2 linked regions of the Rattus norvegicus genome follow. The protein of the gene in region 1 interacts with the protein of each later gene in a pairwise test. Links are inferred from orthologs where the notes say so. Each region holds a gene or a part of one and is shown on either strand. Other genes may lie near its edges.

The links.
Region 2: the proteins of Grn (region 1) and Dlk1 interact in binary tests that used the Homo sapiens proteins (3 or more experiments, as listed by UniProt). The link is inferred for Rattus norvegicus from reciprocal best matches to the Homo sapiens genes GRN and DLK1.

Annotation. Positions count from the first base shown.
Region 1 is NC_086028.1:87,886,189-87,890,692, forward strand, and holds the start of Grn (progranulin isoform a precursor), read left to right. Parts: upstream 1-1,645; 5' UTR 1,646-1,662; coding exon 1,663-1,694; exon of another isoform or gene 1,695-1,846; intron 1,847-4,028; coding exon 4,029-4,173; intron 4,174-4,285; coding exon 4,286-4,411; intron 4,412-4,504. UniProt on the Homo sapiens protein: Secreted protein that acts as a key regulator of lysosomal function and as a growth factor involved in inflammation, wound healing and cell proliferation. Regulates protein trafficking to lysosomes, and also the activity of lysosomal enzymes.
Region 2 is NC_086024.1:134,197,778-134,200,339, forward strand, and holds the end of Dlk1 (protein delta homolog 1 precursor), read left to right. Parts: intron 1-1,003; coding exon 1,004-1,751; 3' UTR 1,752-2,002; downstream 2,003-2,562. UniProt on the Homo sapiens protein: May have a role in neuroendocrine differentiation.

The sequences.
Region 1 (4,504 bases):
AAACATGGCTATCTGCCCTTGCAATTGTGGCGCTTGCGTGGTGGGAGCAGAAAACAAGAAGTTCTGGGTCATTCTCAGCCACTTATCAAGTTGAAGTCCGGAACACAGGAAACCCTGACTCAGAGGGAGAGCTGCAATGTCGCTGAGGTTGGTTTCCAACTCCTGGGGTTAAGCAACCTCCCTTCCTCAACCTCCACATCATGGCTGTGTCTCACTAGAAGCCTAAGCCGTGGTCTGTTTTGGGGATACCTATACGAATGTCATGGAACACCTACGCTAACATCGTCAGGGTACCGAATTATGTTAGATTCTCTGCTCCAGTCTTACACACTTTCCGAGACTCCTGGAGCTCCAGTGTAAGAAGCCCTCATGGAATTCCACAAGCCCGCACTCCTCTCGGTGCAGAACTCCCACTGTCCTGAATTGTGTGGCTGACCCCGTGATCCTGACTGGCCTCCCAGTAAAGGTTTCTGCTTCTAGGGGTAGGAGTGGGGTAACCTAGCTTCCACCTTGAAAGCAAACACAGTCTTTTCTCCAAGGCCCAGCCTTGGCCTTTCTTAGAGTCTGTCTTCTTGGCCCTTCTCCAATCACCGTCTCTGTCTGGCCAGGCCCTTTGGCACTCAGCAGCCTGGCTCTTGTTTCTGGCTAATCTGTTCTACAGCTTAAAATTTCTCTATTCTCCCACCATAACAATTCCTCGAAGGTGGGGACAGCTGAAACAAGGAAACCCCTTGATCTCCACAGTCACCAGCCTGCTCCACAAGCCCACGCCCCACACTTAGTGCGAGTCCAAAGGCCCTTATCTTGAACGTGGCTTTCAATCCTTACTAGAGGCTGTCTTTCCTATCTAGTTTCAAGTTCCTCGGTCCCGCCGAATCAACCTCTTTTTTTCGGAGCTGGGGACCGAACCCAGGGCCTTGCACTTGCTAGGCAAGTGCTCTACAACTGAGCTAAATCCCCAACCCCTCGAATCAACCTCTTAAAGTTCTTTCAGATTCAACTTAATGCTGCACTATCAAGCAGGATTTTAATCTCTTCTTCCCTAACCTTGAGCTAATCTCCTGTCTTCTCTCTGCACACATCTATAGTGACTGGTGCTCGCTTTTGAACTTTTATTAGATTTAGTCTAAGCCACTCTCCCCGTTCAAACCAGGGGACTATTTATCCTCACCCTCACAACCATCTTTCAACTTCTTTCGAGTCCTGGCTGCCAGGCGTGAAAAGGCAGAGAATGTACAAAAGTCGCGATCCAGAAGCAGACACTCTCCAGTAAACGACCTTGAACGTGTGCCCTCAGGGCAGCTCTCTTAACTGTTGGTGGCCTTAGGCAAGCGGTGTCTGGTCTCACAACACCCTGCCGGGCGCCGCCAGAACCCGGGGTTAAATGCAACCAAACAAGCTAGAGCTGCCCTGGGGGAGGCGGGCTATGCTGTCATATGATTCTCTAATCACATGATCCCTAGAAATGGGGTGTGGGGAGACAGAGGAAAGGGAGGAGGAATGTGAAATGAGTAGAAAAAGAAACACAGCATTCCTGGAGAGTCCCGCCTCTACGTAGACAAGTAACCAATGAAAGCCCTGGATCTCTGAGCCATGGCTAATGGAAATTGAGGTGGGCGGGCCATCGCGCGGCCAAGCCCTAGTCCTGGAGCTGACCGCCAGATGCCTCCCAGGGAGCGCGGACCCCGACGCAGGTAGGAGGATCCTTTGCAGATATCTCCCCCGCTACTGTCCAGAGGCCTGACCAGGCTGCTGTGCAATTGAGGGTCCTCTGGAGTCTCAGCTCAGAGACAAGAGAAGACCTGCCTCTTGAAACTCCTCTAGGGGTTTCTGATGCACTAACGAGGTTTTTTTTTCTTTTCTTTTTTTTTTTGGGGGGGGGGACGAGCGGTTGTCGTAGATACCCCCAGTAAGAGGCTCCTCTTGCCCAGCATGTTGGAAAGCTGCAGGCCTTTCTCCAGGGCAGGAACCACCCCACTCTTGGGCCAGCTCCTCTGTCTGTACCTGCCACCTGTCTCCAGGTCCCGGCTCTTTCTCTTTCTGATGCTGCAAGTGGTCTCCGCGGCGGCGTGCAGTGGGTGGGGAGTCTCCCGCCCTTGGTCCCCAGAGCTCAGAAGGGTTGGGGGCAGGACCCGGGCCTGATGGCTGAATCCCTGGGTTGTGTCAGTTGTATTTCCTTTCTTGGGGGCGAGAGAGCTAACTTCCGCCTGCCTCTCCCCGCCACTTTTCCCTGCTCCTTCTCATTAGGATTGGCTCACCTTTTCGGAAATTCATCTCCCCTTGACACTCGGAGATGGGGGGTGCCACCTAGTGGAAGATGCCGGAGCTAGGGCTTTGAAAGGCTCCGGTTCTCCCTGGCTGTGTAATGTAGAGGTGGTCAGGGGCTCACCACTCCCCAGTCCTATTGAGAGGAATTGGGTCTCCCTTACCCCTTCCTGGTTAGGAAATGGCCTCTGGGATTTTTTTTTTTATGTGGGTGGGGGTTAGGTTAAAGAGCACTTGGAAGGACCTAAAAAAGGAAAGAGAGGGGGTTGGGGGAGACGACAGATCCTTCTATGTAGCCTAGGCTGGCCTGGGATTCACCTTGTAGCCCAGGCTGCCCTCGGATTCACCTTGTAGCCCAAGTTGGCCTGGCACTTGCAACCCTCCTACCTCAGCCTCTCAAATGCTGGGATCAAAAGCATGCCTGCCATGCGTGGGTGGCATTTCCTGCCTTTTGTAGCCACCAGTGTCCAGGCAGAGATTGAAGACTTGAGACACAGGGAAGGAACAATTTCTGAGGCCCTCAGTCATAGATTAGAGTGTTACTTCCAGGACTAAAACCCAACTGCAGCTTCAACGAAGTCCCTGTACCCACCCTGCTTCTATCCTGCTTGGGTCACCTGCCAAGAAATCTTCTGCCCCATCCCTCTGCACCTCTGGCCTCTGGGAATCAGGGTCCTTCCCTGGCAATGACCAGAGACAACGGTTGGCATATGAACCCAGTCTAATACCCTGTCTTTTCCCCCCTGGCTTGATCCTTAGGCATGGATTTGAAAAGTGAAAGTAATATTTTAATTATTGCTTTTCATAGATTGCTGAGAAATACAGTGAGAGGGGAAAATGGCTCCCTGGAGGGTCTTTGAATATTACTGGGTTTGCTGCTCTAGGCAGAATAACATCTTTCTGGGTTGCTGGGTAGACCATCTGAGCTGGGAAAAGGCTTATAGGGAAGTGAGAGGTTCAGTTCCTCCTGCTGAGGCAGAGAGTCAGTGAAGAGGTCCACTGGTTCTTCCCACTTGCAGCTGAGTTTCGATTTCTGATCAGGGAGAGACAGAGGCAGTCTGTTTGAGGAGTCCAAAAGGACCCTGGTGATGTCCGGAAGGCCTCATCATGAAGTTAGCTTTGAGGCTGACCTAGCCTCTGTGTCCCCTTCCCTTGAGTGGGGTGGGGACAGTTGTGGGTAGGCAGTGGCTGGCCCATAGGGAAGCCAGCCCAGACCCCACTGGCCACAGTACTTCTGTTTTTACAACTTTCTCCACCGCTAGGTTTCCCATATGATCATGTGACTGATGACTCTGTCCCCCAAGGCCTTTGAAAGCTACAGGTGGCAGACAGTTTGGTACCAGGCCGGGGTGGAGTTAGGCGGGCGGGATGGTGTGGGGCTGGCTTCCTCTTATGGCTGCTAAAGTCTCTTCTGCCTCCCAATTAGTCCTCAGTTCCATAAATCAAAGCCACAAAAGCCACATGCCTTCCCGACTGTCATAACCCCCTCCCCTCCTCTCCACGCACTCAGACTCTCAGGCGTTAGGCCATATGAATCGACACTGGTGTTCCTGCCAACATTCATGCTCACAGTGAGTGCAAGCTGACACACGAGTGCCGTGCACGGGTAGGGCGCTGACTCGAGCGACACATCTGCCTGCTTTCCCGTTGAGAATGCTCAATAAACCCAAGGCCTTGGCCTGAGCACAGGGGAATGCACAGCCTTGGAGTAGAAGGTGGCACAGGCTTCAAGATGGCTGCCAGACTTTGCTTGGCATTTGCAGGCAGACCATGTGGATCCTGGTGAGCTGGCTGGCCTTAGTGGCAAGGCTGGTGGCTGGAACACAGTGCCCAGATGGTCAATTCTGCCCTGTTGCCTGCTGCCTTGACCAGGGAGGAGCCAACTACAGCTGCTGTAACCCTCTTCTGGTGAGTGTCTCATGCCCCAGTTGGCAGCCTGGGCTTTCTGAAGGACTGTCTACCTCAGATTGGCCAGAGGACTGGCACAGATCCTTTGATTGATGTCATCTCTTCTTTCCAGGACACATGGCCTATAATAACGAGCCGTCGTCTAGATGGCTCCTGCCAGATCCGTGACCACTGTCCTGATGGCTACTCTTGTCTTCTCACTGTGTCTGGGACTTCCAGCTGCTGCCCGTTCTCTGAGGTGAGGCCGCCATTGGCTTAGGGGAACAGGAGATTGATTAAGATCTGCATTTACCCCTTTCCTTCACTCTTCTAGTCCCAGGCAAAAGGGTCT
Region 2 (2,562 bases), on another chromosome or scaffold:
TGGATTTTCTGGGATGTCTAAGGAGATTGGAGGACATGGGTTGGGGGGACACTAGTATTAGCTAGCCGTAGTGGTAAAGAGGCTGGCAGGGGGTGGGGGTTGGGAGGGTCCGTTCAAGATCCAGGAGAATGCTGAAGCTCTGAACAGTCAGGAACACAGGGGTCTAAAGATCCCCCATTTAGAAGGGACATTGGAGGTAGTGACCACTGAACTTCACCGCTGTTTACTGGAAAGGGGCGGGGGCGGGCAGCATAGAGCAAGACCTTTCAACTTGTTTTGTTTTAACCGACTTGAACTAGTCTGTCAAAACAGAGCCCAGGAGCCCTTAGGAAGTTTTCAGAGCCGGGTTACTCTGCAGTCCTTGCCTGAAGCTGCAATGCTGATTCCTTGTGTGTGTTGTGGGGTGGGGGCGGTGGGGGGGGTGTCCTTTCCCGGAGTTTTGGCATTTATCAGATGACAAAGGGCTAGCTGGTTTAAAAGCACTTACATTAAATGCTCCTTGTGCTCAGCTTTGAGCAAACAACTTCAGTTTGCAAGCTGCACTTGGGTGAATAGACCAACATTAAACAGCCCGTCACAGACACCACTCCCGCCAGCAAAGATACAGTCCGTATTTCTTCACCGAGAGTCCCCAAGGGTTTCTCCTCACAATAGCTCGCTGGGTCCACTCCACTAGAAATAAAAATAATAAGGGGTGGGAAGGGGTGGGGTGGGGTGGGGGACGCAGACTGGAGCCCTAACAGTAGATCTCCCCTGGAGGACTGTGCCCCTTACTCTCCTCATCCGGGAACGAGCTCATTGAAAGATCTTACTCCAAACTGTTACTAATGCAGCCTCAGTTTCCCCATCTGACTAGTGACTTACAATCTTTGTTCTGGCCTGAGAGACTAAGAGGTGGGAGAGGGCTTAGGAGAGGGTATGGGAGGTCGGTTCTGTTCCTATTGCTCTGTCCTAGCCCAGCCCCCCCTCCCCCAGGACCCTTGACCATATCTTTGTGTTACAGTTCTCCCTGCCAGCACGGAGGCGCCTGCGTGGATGATGAGGGCCGGGCCTCGCATGCTTCCTGCCTGTGCCCCCCTGGCTTCTCGGGCAACTTCTGTGAGATCGTGACCAACAGCTGTACCCCTAACCCATGCGAGAACGATGGCGTCTGCACCGACATCGGGGGCGACTTCCGTTGCCGCTGCCCAGCTGGATTCGTCGACAAGACCTGCAGCCGTCCGGTGAGCAACTGCGCCAGTGGCCCGTGCCTGAACGGGGGCACCTGCCTCCAGCACACCCAGGTGAGCTTCGAGTGTCTGTGCAAGCCCCCGTTCATGGGTCCCACATGCGCGAAGAAGCGCGGGACCAGCCCCGTGCAGGTCACCCACCTACCCAGCGGCTACGGGCTCACCTACCGCCTGACCCCCGGGGTGCACGAGCTACCTGTCCAGCAGCCCGAGCACCACATCCTGAAGGTGTCCATGAAAGAGCTCAACAAGAGTGCCCCTCTCCTCACCGAGGGACAGGCCATCTGCTTCACCATCCTGGGCGTGCTCACCAGCCTGGTTGTGCTGGGCACCGTGGCCATCGTCTTTCTCAACAAGTGCGAGGCCTGGGTGTCCAACCTGCGCTACAACCACATGCTTCGCAAGAAGAAGAACCTGCTGTTGCAGTACAACAGCGGCGAGGAGCTGGCGGTCAATATCATCTTCCCGGAGAAGATCGACATGACCACCTTCAACAAGGAGGCTGGTGATGAGGATATCTAAGCAGCGTGTCCCCTCCCCCTCCCCCAGGCCCTTCTACATTATCGGGGTTCCTCACAGCTCCCTCTATGCGCTCTATGCTTCTTTGTGGTGGAGTTCGCTCTTGTGTGGAATCTAGTGAACGCTACGCTTACATTTATTGTCTCGTGTTGCTGTGTGACAAGCTGCCGCTAAGAACCCCTCCCTCCCTCCCTCCCTCCCTCCCTATTAATGCATGATATAATGAATAATAATAAGAATTTCATCTCTAAATGAGTTAAAGAAATAAGTATGTTATTCTAAACTCTATCGAATATCAAATATAAAATCAAAAAGACCAAAAAAAAACATGGCAACAGTACCAGGGCTTGGTGCTGAGGTCCCTCTCCCAGGGGAGGGGTGTCAGCCACCAGGTCCTCGTGAAACCACAAGAGTCCTGTGCTTGACCACTCACTGTGAAAAGGGCTAAACTCTTTCGTTCGTTAATTCTCACGCACACACGCACACTCACTCACATCAAGTCTCACACCGCAACCCTTAGATCTTTCCAATTGATTTGTGACTTTGCTGCGTGCGGTGGCTGTGTGCCAGGCAGAGAGAGACCCCAGGTTGGCTGTTGGCAGAGAGGTCCGGGGACCTAGTCCCAACCCTGCTGCTCACTCGCCGTGAGACCCTTGGCGAGAGCCCCCCCTCCAACCCTGGGCCACTTCCCCACCCCTCCCCATAAGGGAGGGGTGCAAACACCCAAACACCAAGGTCTTCTCTAGCTCCCAAATTCAGAATTAGGAACGAGGGATGTGTAGCAAAATTCTTCCTGACTTCGGTAGTAGGATCT